3 linked regions of the Danio rerio genome follow. The protein of the gene in region 3 interacts with the protein of the main gene of each other region in a biochemical or structural test. Links are inferred from orthologs where the notes say so. Each region holds a gene or a part of one and is shown on either strand. Other genes may lie near its edges.

What was found.
Region 1: the proteins of yap1 (region 3) and shank1 interact in a test that uses a peptide from one of them, tested with the Homo sapiens proteins (2 studies listed by IntAct, with this or other methods). The link is inferred for Danio rerio from reciprocal best matches to the Homo sapiens genes YAP1 and SHANK1.
Region 2: the proteins of yap1 (region 3) and ttyh3a interact in a test that uses a peptide from one of them, tested with the Homo sapiens proteins (2 studies listed by BioGRID and IntAct, with this or other methods). The link is inferred for Danio rerio from reciprocal best matches to the Homo sapiens genes YAP1 and TTYH3.

Annotation. Positions count from the first base shown.
Region 1 is NC_133178.1:29,536,649-29,541,632, forward strand, and holds part of shank1 (SH3 and multiple ankyrin repeat domains protein 1), read right to left. Parts: intron 4,076-4,984; coding exon 4,009-4,075; intron 3,677-4,008; coding exon 3,507-3,676; intron 2,741-3,506; coding exon 2,616-2,740; intron 853-2,615; coding exon 704-852; intron 1-703. UniProt on the Homo sapiens protein: Seems to be an adapter protein in the postsynaptic density (PSD) of excitatory synapses that interconnects receptors of the postsynaptic membrane including NMDA-type and metabotropic glutamate receptors via complexes with GKAP/PSD-95 and Homer, respectively, and the actin-based cytoskeleton.
Region 2 is NC_133178.1:41,050,058-41,055,041, reverse strand, and holds part of ttyh3a (protein tweety homolog 3), read left to right. Parts: intron 1-478; coding exon 479-590; intron 591-733; coding exon 734-954; intron 955-4,984. UniProt on the Homo sapiens protein: Calcium-independent, swelling-dependent volume-regulated anion channel (VRAC-swell) which plays a pivotal role in the process of regulatory volume decrease (RVD) in the brain through the efflux of anions like chloride and organic osmolytes like glutamate.
Region 3 is NC_133193.1:40,209,724-40,214,397, forward strand, and holds part of yap1 (transcriptional coactivator YAP1), read right to left. Parts: intron 2,132-4,674; coding exon 2,019-2,131; intron 293-2,018; coding exon 54-292; 3' UTR 1-53. UniProt on the Homo sapiens protein: Transcriptional regulator with dual roles as a coactivator and corepressor. Critical downstream regulatory target in the Hippo signaling pathway, crucial for organ size control and tumor suppression by restricting proliferation and promoting apoptosis.

The sequences.
Region 1 (4,984 bases), on a different chromosome or scaffold from region 3:
AGCCTTGTTTACACCTGGTTTAAAGATATTCAGTCCAATTACAAATGTACAAATCTATCTAAGCTTGTCCACTTTCAACCAATTCCAGAGGTAGCCAAAATTTAATGTAATAGTATTGCTTTTGTAGCATAAATAATCCTGTTTTTTTGACTTGACCTGATTTATGACCAATTTTGTGAGAATGCACACCACAATAAGGTATTTGTAGAAAAAAATGGTTTGTTCATTCAATAGTATTCTTGTGTCACACTGAGCATGTCTGCAAAAAATGTATATGTCTTTAAAAAATCAAAACACAAGTGATCTCATCAGTATGCTATGCATGCTAATAAATCAAAAGATCAGATCAGTTAATACCTGTTGTAAACAGGACCCTTTACCCATTAAAAATAATCACTGCATGACGCTCCTGATACACAAACACACACACACACACACACATTGAATCACAAAACACATGCAAAGACATGATGGCTGTAGAGTTGTATGCACATGCATGCACGCTGACATTGCTCACAAACAGACATATACTGACATACCAACACATATCACCAGAATACATACACAGACAACGTTTATCCACACCTGTGGAAAACATACAGAAACAAACACACATTTAATGGGACCAATTTACAGACACGCACAGCGCACATCATTGCTCCTGCTTACAAAGAGAGACAAACTCACACACACACACATTCACCTTTGACTTTGTCTCCCTTGTTGAAGCTGATTTCGCGGTCACCCTGGGCCGAGTGTGAGCGAGTGGCAACAAAAACTCGGCCAGGAACGGCGCTGTAGAGACGCCGCCGCTGCCCGCTGGCTGTGCCCTGACTACTGATGGATCCCGCTCTACACAATGGCACAGGTATCAGACAACAGGGTTATCATTCATTTATTATTGGCTTTATTCATTCAAGTGTCTGTCTTCATCGGATGTGAGTGACTATACTGGAAGTTAAATAGCTTTTTGGTGTAATAAATTCTAAGAAATTTCCCGTCATCATTTTAAAATTTTAATATTAAATGTCAAGAATTGCCAAGTAAAATTTTTAATATTTACACATTTACTTGATGTAATAAATGAAAGAGTTAATTTACTAGTAATATTAAAATGTTTTCTAATCATTACAGATAAGCCTGGTAGAATTAAGTACATTTTAATCGAAAAAGCATTGACTTGGTTAGCATAAGCAGGAATCCCTACAAAAATGCCACAATTCAATTAGAAAACAATTCATTAGAATGACTGCACAGAGGCACTTTATCATTAGTTTTTGGGGAAAAGAATATGACTTTTTTTGCTTTATTTAATATTGAAAAGTTGCTGTGTAATGTTTTCATCTCTGATACATTTAAAACTCGATTATTTTTTTAAACTAGTAATGATAACATAATTATACACTGAAAAAAATTATTCAAAGATGATTCCTTGGATTTACTAAGTTTTTTTTACGTTAAAAAATTTTACGTTATTAAATATAATATGTTTGTTGAAATTCAACACAAATAGGTTGTTTGCAACAGTTTTGCAGACATCACTTTTTTCAGTGCAGGAAGCAGCATAAAAAGTGAAAATATTACAGAAAAAATATAAAATAACTGGTAACTAATGTGTTTATTTAATTTGATTGAAGCAAAGTTCCTCTTGCTAAAAACAATTTAAATTTGATTTATTCGAATAAATCTAGATTAAAAATGAAAGATAATCAGTAATCAATATTTATGAGTGTTCGGGTAACATTAAGTAACATTAACAGTTTATTTGATAATGACAAGTTAATTGGACTTGATTTAAGATTAGTCAAACTCACTTGAAAAAATATTATCAGGATGTTATCAAGTATTTCTTAGTCTGTGTTTTTCAATGTATTAATGATGATTTAGGCATAGAATCCACAAACACTGTCAGATGCCAAAAGGACAATAAAAAAAAATGGTACCAAGATATGTTCACAGTGCAAGTCTTTCCAAAGTTTGGAAGGTCAGTCAATGATTCATCTATTATAAATTTTAAATCTTGTTAAAGCAAAAAATAAACAAATATTGTAAATAAAGCATTAAGGATTTAAATGCTTTTTGATTAAATGTATTAAAATATTGGTGTCATGCAGCAAGTTGCAGAGAATGCAGTGAACACCATGAAATTAGGATTTGACTAAACAGTAGTCATAAATAGCTATCGAGTTTTCTCAATTTAAAGGGATAGTTCACCAAAAAAGGAAAATTTACTTACCATTTACCCATCCTCTAGAGTAATCTTAAAATTGTTTGTGCTTCTTTATTCTGCTGGACACAAAAGACGATATTCTGCAGAATGTTAGAAACTGGTAGCCATTGACATCCGAATTAGAAAAATACAAACCATAGTTCAAACTCTATGGTAGTCAGTGGTTACATGTTTTTAAAATTATTCAAAATATCTTCTTTTGTGTTCAGCTGAAAAAAGAAACGCAAACCGGTTTTGAACAGGTCAAGGGTGAGTAAATGATGACACAATTTTCCGTTTTGGTTGAACTATCCCTTTAAATGAGTAGGCTTGGATCTGAAAAATAGTATTGCTTGTGCAAGAGCTTAACAACTAGATAATGTCCTTTCTTCTTGCTCTTCCTCACCCTTGTCTTCCACGTGTTTGCCGGCTCCGATCGTCCCGGTCACCTGTTCGGCCACGAGATGGGGAACGTGTTCGGGCTCCACGGGGACTGCTGGAGCTACGTAAGGTGCCGCCATGCTTTAGACCCTGAGATATACATGTTATTATGATAAGCGGTAGTGTAATTATGATCTCAGATCAACCTCAGGGTAAGTACTTAGTGCAAATCAACAGTATCTATGCATACAGTGTGACAACAATGAAATAAGGTTTTGCTGGTTATCTTGACTAGATAGCCCTTTAAAGGGTCATTTTTTCAGAATTTCTTTCTTCTGTTGAACCCAAAATAAGATATTATAAAGAATGTTGGAAAAATGCAGCCATTGATTTATATAACCCTTACAAAGAATAGAACAAAACATAGCTGTCAATTACTTCAGCCTACAATAATAATAATTTAATAATAAAAAATAGGTCATTCAGCAGTAAAACAAACGAAGAACTTTTAAGCAAATGTTTCTGTAGGAAAGAAATTAAATGCTATTACTAAAGAAAAAGATAAAAGTTTCATTGAGATGGATTGTTGGTGATTGTATAAGTGTTAATGGCCAGACAGAGTAGCTGTACATGAACAATGGAAAATTAAGACCTGTTAAAAATTATTTAAGACCTTCAACACAATATTTCAGTAGATTTAAGTTGTTTTTAAGGCCTCAAATTTTGATATTTAAGACATTTTAAGACTTTTTTAACACCCTGAGGATATCCTGAATATATTGTGCAGCCCTATATTGTACACTACCACTCAAGTTTTGCTAATGGATAGCTTTTTATGAATACAAAAACAACAGCATTTGGAATATTTATAAAACACAATAACAACAACTAAATCATTCATCGACTGATCAATTACCTGTACAGAGACGATGCTTGATCCTGCAGCATTGGGAAAGGCAATCCAGTCTGGCACATTCATGCTGTTATCACTGTTGGCCCGTAAAAAGGGGTGCGGATGAGGCAGTCCAAGTGTCCGTGAGCTCTCCCTCCTTTGCGGGGCATATTTAGGAGACTCCAAAAAGGGGACTGACAAAAAAGTAAGTGAGTGAGTAAAGATGGAGGGAGAGACATACAGTAAGTACACTCCAGCTGCCCAATGGCTTTCAATATTCATTCCATGTGTACAATCACACATGTATCATCTGTATTAAAACATCATTAAGCATCACGACTTCAGCAAATATCCCCTTCTGAGTGTGTAAGGAGCAGTGAACACTGCTTGGGGATTGTGTGAATCGCAACGCAGCTAAACAGAGACAAAAGTATCAAGTTCCAAATGTCACACAGCGTGAAGAGCAAACAAATGATCTCACACAGAATTAAAAATACCACCACAAACAAAAATCTGAGCTCCTTACCTACATCTGATTCACGGTGGTTTTTAATTATTTCTCCAAGCTCAAAATGGCCAGACATCACAGCCACCTAGAAAAGAAGTTCACACGCGCTTAATATTTGCATCTGTGAATGACGCACAATGACGCAAGGCTTGGGAATAACATAATATTAAACACACGCACACACACACACACACATGCATCCACTTTTCTTCATATTAAACACAAGCGCAGCTGGCTCTGTGGAGATGGTTGAGGTTGAAGTAAAACTCTTTTGGCTCACTACAGTTTAGCTCCACCTGGGACTCGCAACGCATACAGAAACACTTCACAGTAACAGATAACAAACATACAGCACAGCTAGTGAATCGCGTAATTTCTGTGCCCCTGGCGTCACCAGATGAAGTAAAAGAATGAAAATTGTTCACAAGTGCAACAATACACTGGTAATTTAATAACATTTTTTTACATTAAACTCACACATGCACTAAATAAGCCAGAAAAATTATAATACTTACATTAGTTATAATAATCATAAGGTTAATTTTATTATTATTATTATTATTATTATTATTATATTATAATTTTACAATTATAATAATTATTATTATTGATATTCATAAATACTTATCATTAAGTTAATTCTATTATTATTTATATATGTTATTTATGCGTTATGTGTGGAGTGTGGTTTGCTATACATAAAACAATAATAATAATTATTATTATTATTAATAAAAAAAAATTAGTTTATTTTATTATTATGCATGTGTTATTTATGTGTGGAGTGTGGATTGCTATTATTATTATTATTATTATTATTATTGTTATTATTAATAATATTCATATATACTTATCATTAAGTTAATGTTATTATTATTCATATGTGTTATTTATGTGTTGTGTGTGGAGTGTGGCTAGCTGTTTATACAATTATTATTATTGTTACTGATAATAATAATAATAATAAATAATAATTATCACTGAGTTAATTTTC
Region 2 (4,984 bases), on a different chromosome or scaffold from region 3:
ATAATAATAAAATTAGTGTTTAAAAAAAAAGGTAACTACTTGTGTGCTGTGGGTAAAAGGTGTTTCAATCTATCTACCTCCACAAGTATATTTCAAAGCTGTGGGAAGCACTGTGCTTTTAAAACTTGTATAACTGAATGACAAACCTGAAGGACCCAAAAGTTGATGTAATGAAAACTTCACTTAACATCTTGTGACAAGATGAAGTACAATACAAGTCAGCAGGAACCAAAGTTGGTCACTTCTTTTTTCTTTTGATGTTCAGGTCAATGGTAGTAAAACAGAGTGGGAAGTGACTTACTGTAAAACATTATCCTGAATGCATATAAGTAACAGTCATGTGTGTGTGTCATCTGCCTTCTGCCTTCATGGTTTAAGACATTACTGAGCTATTCCTCAGTGTTCTCTGAGTTCTCCTGAAGGCCTTCATGCCCCAGTCCTGCTCCTCCTCACAGCACTCTCTCTTTGTCTCTTTCAGTGCTGGCATTGCTGTTGGTTTCTATGGGAATGGCGAGACCTGTGACGGCGTCAGTCGGCTTACCTACTCTCTCCGGCATGCCAACCGCACCGTGTCAGGAGTTCACAGACTGGTGAGGCACTGATATAGTTTTATTCACATCCCTCCAAAACACTTAGGTTTACAATCTCACTGACACATGCTTATATACCAATGCATCACTGTGTGATCTGCCGCTCGAGAAACGCGCTTACAAATCAAATGTGTTTTCTGTAGGTGTCAGAAAGTACTTCAGCTCAGAGCCAAACTGTGGATGAAAACCTGCGGATACTAAAGGAGCAGTATGCAAAACACACAGACTATTTGTCCATCATTCAGAAACTGCAGGATCAGCGGAGCGAGCTGGTTCGTCAGATGGCCGACATCCCCTTTTGGAGCAACCTCGGCGTCTCCCTGGAGGATCTGGCAACCCAGATTGAGCTGTATGACTGGTACAGGTACGTCACGAGAAGCGAGGTATTGGTGAAACACCTGCTTCAAATGTTATCAATCGATTGAATGAACGTTATCAGCTGATATATATATGGACCAGTAGGTGCCAAGATAATTATAGTTAACGAAAACAAACGAAAAAAATGAAAGTTTGAATTAATTTTCATTAGCTGAAATAGAAATAAAAGCGAGTTCTTACAAAAAACTATAACTAACTGAAACTGTTTTGTGTGCATGCTGTGCAAAACTAACTGAAACTAACTACAATTAAAGCAAAAACGACCTTCGTTTCATCTTTGTAAATATATTTAATGCATAATCTTACTGTAAGCCTTTTAGAAGTAAATCTGTTTACTTCGCAGTGCCAGGTGTTTGACCCATACGGCACCTCATAGTCTGTCATCCAGCTGCCATTGGCCAGATCGAGTCAGTTATCCTCGCTGTTGCTCCCGTGACAAAAACAACGAGTGGACATGACAGTAGCATGGCAACAGCATTAATTACAGAGACTGAAAGTTATTATTTTAACACATTTGTGCCCAATAATGGCTTTTATTTCTGTATTAGTGAGTGTGATCGCGAACATATCTTTTTAACTGGATCTTCTAAGTGAACCGGTTGAACTAGTTCACCAAATCGAACTGAATCATTTGAAATGATTTGCGTCTTCAGTAAGCACTCTTAATCACTAACTACTAACTTTTTAACAGTCCTAATACCCCCGTCTGACTCGAAATAAACCAATATATATACTGTTATTCAGTTATTAGAACAGATATGTTACACTGAGATCACATTTAGAAGCGGTTAACCGATAATTCTGCACATGCGTGATTCAGTAAACCAAACACAAACAGTACTTGACAGCCTGCTGTGACTGAACTAAACTTGATCAACAGCCGCGCAGGTAAACCAAGGGCTTAAATGAGAGGATCTGATCTATAAACATTTTTTATAATAGACACAGCCTTTTTTATAGGTAACAAAAAATAATTTGAGCCAGTTGGCATTACTGTGTGGAGTTTGCATGTTCTCCCTGTGTTAGCGTTGGTTTCCTTCAGGTCTTGTGGTTTCCACCACAGTCCAGCGATATGCGGTATAGGTGAATTGGGTAAGCTAAATTGGCCGTAGTGTATGAGTGTGTGTGAATTTGAGAGTGTATGGGTGTTTCCCAGTACTGGGTTGCGGCTGGAATAGTATATGGTTCATTCTGCCGTGGTGACCCCTGAAAAAATAAATGGCCAAGTCGAAGGAAAATGAATGAATGAATGAAATATTTGCAAATTCCTTGGCATTGGTAACTGAAAATTTGGTACCATGACAGTCCTAGAAATGTTTTTGAAGCACATGATAAAGTGTTGGTGTAATTGATCCCAACTATCCAAAGGAAATAAAAATAAAACTCTGGAGAAGGAAAAAAAACAGTGCTCAAAGGCTTTCTCTGTATCACAAGTTGAGCCCAGTGCACTCTTAGAGAGAGTAGAAATTAGTATTCTGTTCACCCACAGCTTCTCTTCAGTTATTTCCATTTCCTTGTGAAAGAAACTGCCCTGGGGTCTCGGTAGTCCTTAAAAAAGAGAACTTATTTCATTATAGATATCCAAAACAAGATAACGCAATAAACTAAACACTTTTGGTTTTGATTCTATAAATGAAAGTTGTGTCTGCTTATACAAAAGTTGCAATGTTTACCCAGCAACAGCTCCTTTAATGGCTAAGCTTCATAAATCACTAAACTCCGCTTTGGTTACACAATCCATTAGAAATCATTGTAATATGCAATTTTGTGTCACCTGTCGGTCAACAGCTGACAGTTATGTTCCTTTAAAGATTATGTGTGCATTTTATTTTCATAAATTGTGATTTTGATAAACTTTTCAACAATAATGAAACATAATTTATTAAAATGTAAAAAAGTTGAGTTATTTCATTATGCAAATGAATTCTTCATCCTCTATATAATAGATGCCCAAAGTAAGGCTCAGTTGGCCGATTTTAACCTTTGATTTGGCCCACAGTCCAATCTGAAAAGAGAGGGAGAATAATGGGGAGGTGGTTAGGGCGAATGCCTTTGACAGATATGACTTTTCAAATTTATTGTAACTTATTGTTTCTTTATATTGTTGCTGAGCTACAAAAGAAGCCAACTGAAATGTCAACAACTTTTGTTCTGTAGACTATCGAAAATATATATCTTAAAGAGGCTAATAATTTTGACGTTAAAATGGTTTTTAAAAAAGAAAAAAAACAAATAAGACTTTCTCTTGGAAAAAAAAAAAAAAAAAAATATATATATATATATATATATATATATATATATATATATATATATATATATATATATATATATATATATATATATATATTAAAACATATATATTATCAGAAATTCTGTGAAAATTTCCTTGCTCTGTTAAACATAATTTGGGAAATATAAAAAAAAATAGAAACAATTCAAGGTGGGTTTAATAATTCTGATTTTAACTGTATATACAGAAAAGAAAACGGCAAAAAAGAAAAATATTATGAAAGAAAAAAAAAGTAAAAATATCCGATAAAATAAAATGGTTAAGACATTTTACAGTAGTATTTCCGTGTAGTTCTCTTTCTTTCTCTCTCTATTTTTTATTCCAGTGAATTTAAAGATTTTTAGCTTCATTACTCCAGTCATGAGTCATGATGCTTTAAAAATCACTCTAAAAAAAAAAAAAAAAATTATATATATATATATATATATATATATATATATATATATATATATATATATATATATATATATATATATATATATATATATAATTGAAATAAAAATTGTTGTTATTGTTAATGGTAATGGTAATAAAAGCAGTAATGACTGGATGTATAATTTAATTTGAAACTACATACAATAATAAAGCAGTTATTTATAATGTTATAAAAATATTGAATAATTTAACAATTTTTTACATTTTAATAATTGTCGCAATTTTTTTTAAACATTAAAAACTGACTCACAAGTTTTTGCCTGGTATTGTCAAAAAACCTTAGTAAATAGTAGTAGTAGTAGTAGGTAAATAATGTAATAACAAAAATCATTTAAAAATAATTAATAAATAAATAAAATAATTATAATAATAATAAATAAATAAAAACAAAATAATCAGAATAATCTTTCTCTCTCTCAAATGTCACGTCTAGTTAAAGTCACAATTATTAGCCCCTATTAATGTTTTAATGTTTTTTTTTATTATTATCTGTTTAACAGAGAGAATATTTCTTCAACACATTTCTAAACATAATAGTTTTAATTTCTAATAACTGATTTATTTCATCTTTACCATGATGACAGTAAATAATATTTGACTAGATATTTTTCAAGACACTTCTATACAGCTTAAAGTGACATTTAAAGGCTTAACTAGGCTAATCAGGTTAACTAGGAAGCCTAGGGTAATTAGGCAAGTCATTGTATAAAGATGGTTTGTTCTGTAGACAGTCGAAAAAAAGAATTAGAAGGGACTAATAATACTGACCTTAAAATGGTTTTTTAAAAAATTAAAAAGTGCTTTTATTTTAGCTAAAATAAAACAAATAAGACTTTTTCCAGAAGAAAAAATATTATCAGGCATTATTTGAAAATTTCCATGCTCTGTTAAACATCATTTGGGAAATATTTATTTTTTATTATATATTTATTTATATAATAAGGGGGGCTAATAATTCTGACTTCAACTGTATATATTGTCAAAACATTTGTGATGTTTACATTAAACAGAACATATGAAAACAAATGACACAGTAATAGTGATAATAAAAAACAATAATTAATAGTATATTTAATAATCAACATTTTATAATTCATTTACAACAATTTAGAACTCTGCATGCATTTTTGTGCGGTCTGTCACTCCATCTTTATCTCTGTCTCTCACGCACACAATTTCAGCTAACATTTTATTGTGTTTGTGTTTGCATTGCATTGTTATGCACTGCTAGTTGCATTTGCTGTATGAGTTTTACAGCAGTTGTACTGTATTAATGTAAATGTATGTTTGT
Region 3 (4,674 bases):
ATTGGGCAGCAGTTCGGTATGAAAGAGAAGGTGTAGTGCTGGGTTCGGGCTCTCTATAGCCAGGTTAGAAAGTTCTCCTTGTCGATCTTGGTAGCTGCCAGCACTGACTCCATGTCGTTGAGGATGTCGGAGCTTAGGGCTTCCTGCAGGCTGGGCATCAGCTCCTCGCCCTCCACCGCCATGCTCTCGCCCTCAAGGGTGCCTAGGTCCACGTCCGTGCCCGGGATGGCGTCTAGGTAATCGGGGAATCGGCTGGGCTGTGTTGCCATTGAGCCGGGGCCGAGGGTGTCACCTGAGAAAGGAGAGAGGGGTCAGAAATGAACGTTTCCTTTAGGGCTGCACTATACAGAGTTTGGGAAATGCCTGTGAGCCAAGACTGTGATTGTCCAAAGTGCAATGCCGCAATAAGTATTATTGTATATTTATACAAAACTCAATTAAACACGATTAAAATGATTGAATACACTTGATTCTTGCTCTTGACAGTAATAAGGATTCTTATTAGATTATTGCTGTTTTTATTATTATAACTCAAAGCCTCTCCTATTTTGAGTCACCACCGCCTGAATCAAACAAACAGCTTCAATTATTATCACAAAAATCAGTCAAAGTAATTTTTTCATTGCATTAACATCTGTTTCATGCATTATTATTATGTATTTTATGACTGTTTTAAAAAAATGACATATTTTGTCTGTAACAAAAAGTCATGACAATGATCTGTAAAGCACTGATAGAAAAAAAAAATCTGGTTTAGGATACACCAATTGTATATTTAATATATGTAAATTCTGTTATTGTGAAATTTCAGCGAATTTCAGATTTTTAAAAACAATAATATGATGGAAATGCATGAAATCCTGTTTTTGGCATGCCCTGTAATATCTATTTTTTTAAGGTTAGCATCTTGAGCTAAAGCACAGAATGGCTTTTATGGTTTAAAACGTTTAACTGCAATTAACAAGCAAATGTTGCCTATTACATTCAAGAATTATGCATTATTTTACATTATTATCAGATTCACTTCACTGCAAATATATCATTCCTGTTTAAGGAAAATGCTTGAAATGTCCCCACAACTCTGGAATGAGTCACATATAATAATAGCTGCGTCCCAAATGGCACACTATACACTCATGCACTATGTACTTATGCACTTACACACTCACCAGGATAGTATATGTATGTAGTGTCGTCTCAAATGGAGCACTAATGTTTTTTTACTAAGCAGAAATTCAAACCGTTTCCCTGATGACGTTTGACGGTTGCCAAATCAGTGAAATAAACGACCGAATTATCAAATAATACCTGCCGTGAGTATAACCGCATTCACCATCGGGAGGCGCTATAATCACTCTCGTAGGAGAATTTTGCTTTCACAATCCATAATATATAAAGTTATTCAACATGTGCGCCCGATAGCTCCGCCCCTTCCGCTACTTGAGCAAACCTGCAGTCTTTGAGCGTGTGAAGTGTCCATCATTACACACTTCGTTTTAGCGGCTGAATGAGTGCACCATCCGGGTAATTAAAGTGCATGTATTATTTTTAGAGTTTTCAGTGTGAACACACTACTTACACTATTTATACTACAAAATGACGTAGAATAGTGCATAAGTATGCAAGTTGGGACGCAGCTAATGTTTTTGTGTTTAAAAAAACAACACTTCCTATTCTTTCTGCACAGACAAAACAAATGTTGGCCCATTTAATGAGTTTCGTACAAATCTATAGTTATAAATGCTAACTCTGTGAAACAAATCTCATTGATCATATCTGCACTTTTTATTATTCATGATGAGAGAATTACCCAGCATGCATTCAGCAATATTTAAAGTAAATCTGATGAAACAAGCAACCCTAAACATAATGCAATGAATTGACAATTTCAACTGTGACATCACAATACATTTGGTTTAACAGCGTAGCATTTAGCATTTAATTTTAGGCCCAATTGATTTTCTATCAGAGGATATAAATTGTTATGCATTTTCATTATAAGTAGTCCAGTACTGTACCTGTCTCCATCTCATCCACACTGTTGAGGAAGTCGTCTGGAGTGCGAGGGACGCTGTAACTGCTCATGCTCAGGCCACTGTCTGTGCTCTCGTCTCTAGAGTGATATGTCCCGCTGCACAGAACAACACCATTAATAACTTTAAGTGTTTAAATATCAGTTATGTGTACGGATCAAAGATGAGGCATCAAACTTAAAGAACAGTTCACCCAAAGTTAAAAGTTATGTGATCAATTTCTCACCCTCATATCACTCTAATCCCTTGAGGCATTTGTTCATATTATTCGGTAAACAAATGATAAAACTTCTGATCAAACCAGAGAGCTCCCTCATCCTCCACAGACAGGTATAGCTCGATTAACATTTTTTCCCTCTATATCTTCTCATCAGGGCGCCAGGTTGTATGTTTACTACCAGCTATACATTGTAAAGCAGCAAAACACATAATCGTTGTACTGCCGGAAGTAAGCGCGGCCTGACATGGAAAACAGACAAAAACTTGTTTTTACAGTTTTTTGGCAAATAAAAGTGTACTCAGAGCTTTATATGGTTATTTTTGAACCACTGAAGTCATATGAATATTTTTTGCAATGATTTTGTTTGCTTTTCTGGACTGCTGTTTAAGGAGGATGTGAGATTTCATCTAAAATGTCTTCACATTTGGGTTCCAAAGAAAAATGAAGGTCTTTGGAACTACATGAGGGTGAGTAATTATTAACAGAATGTTCATGGTGAACTAAATCAGGACATTACCTTCTAAAACATTAAATATACAGCAAGTAATGCTCTGAGGTTTCATATAACTACTGTGAAAAAAAATGTCAAAACAGTATGATAAAAATTTGCTTTCTATATTTTTACAGATTTTTTTTTTTAATAGCACTTTTATTTTGTAAAAGTATATTGTACACTTCCAGTGTTGCCAGAATGGGCATGTGTCTGTAAAAAAATGGCATAGCCGGGTTGACAAAATGTGGGCGGTTTTAAAGCGTAAATTTTATATGCAACTTATTTAACAAAACATAACTGCGTGCTCCTACTCCATTCAGTTTCTAGTGACCAATGCATAGTGCAAACCCCTTGGGCTCACCCGCAACAGGAGGTGAAGGAAAGTTGTATCAAAATCTGACACCCAGGACAAATCTGACTCCCCTTCGCAGTTAAACTCACAGCAGTTCATCATTACACTTATCTATCTTTTTTTTCCACAATTGACAGCAAGAACAAACATAGAAGTACTGTCTAATTAACAAGCAGCACCTAATTCTATTCAAAAGAATTTAAAACACCAAATGGGACGATTTTTTACCCCATTTTGAAAGTGAAACTCTAGGTAGTGTAATCTACATAGCAATAAGTGCAGCGTGTGTTTTGATGTGATCCGGTTATGTTGTGGTTCTTTGACTGCTGGTTGGTAAAAAAAATTATGACAGTTACAGTAACTCGGTTTATTAATTAATAATATAATTTATTTCATGTAAATAAATTTAAATAAAATAAAGCAATTCCATGCAATGTCAACCTTGCCATGAAAAAAATAGCAAAACCCCCTTTTTTGTGTGTGTGTAGGCTTGTATTTTAAAGTACTGCACAAATGCTCAAAAAGTATTTGTCAGTGTTTTCAAACTATTATATCTGATTTACTAAAGTCACACAAGTGGCAATTTCACATCTGTCACTTCCATAACGAAAAAGTGTCCCATCCATAACCAAGATTTTCTCTTATAAATGCAAAAACATCAAATCAAATCAATCATGTTTATTCTATAGTGAGTCAACTCTTACCCTTTTAGTTGGCATTAATTTTTTTGGGGTTGTGCAGTTTAATTCACTGAATTTCTACAAAGCATGTTGTGCACTGTAAACTTGCAGACCTTTTTGGTCACATCCATAACGCATGTTTATTTTCCTCATTTAAAATATAAAATATGTTTACGGATTGATATTGTTCTGATCCTGTAACTCTGTGCTTTAGTTGCTTTAAAAAAATATAAACAGATGTTTCAATATACTGTTATACTTTCTCTGTGAATTTATGTTTCGAGTTTTTACTGCAAATGTCACATCAATAACGCTGGAATTGCTTAATATTCTAGTATTTAAGGCAAGATTTGGGTGTGGGGGCAGGTTTTGGACATCTTTTGAGCTGGAAAGTCAGCTATATCTGGCAACACCGATCAAATCAAAATCAAGGATCAGAAATGTTAAATATACTGCAGATCAACACACACTTGATTAAATCCAAACCCAAACAAGCCAAGACTATAATTATATACTACAATTGAATCTCCGATGGCTGAGGGAAAAGGTTACCAAAAAGAACATGGCATCTTTTGTATAAAGGTGGATTTATCCCAATAATGTTAGACCTTTTTCTTGGCTGCTGCATAGAAAGCGTTATACCGACCAGCGTCTTCCGGTCGAATGTTTAGAACTTCCGGTTACAGCGTTTACAACTGGTAATTTGCACTCCAAAAATGGATATCAATAGCGTTTGAGTGGATTACGTGTGTGTTTTTGTGAAAGGTGTGTATTAAAGCCGTTATAATCTGTCATTCGTGGTTCAAGCACGAGAGAAAAACGTTCTCCTAGTTCACATCTCTGCTGTGAGAAATACAGTGGCTGTGTGTTTCCCCGGCCTGTCAGCTGTTAGCTCA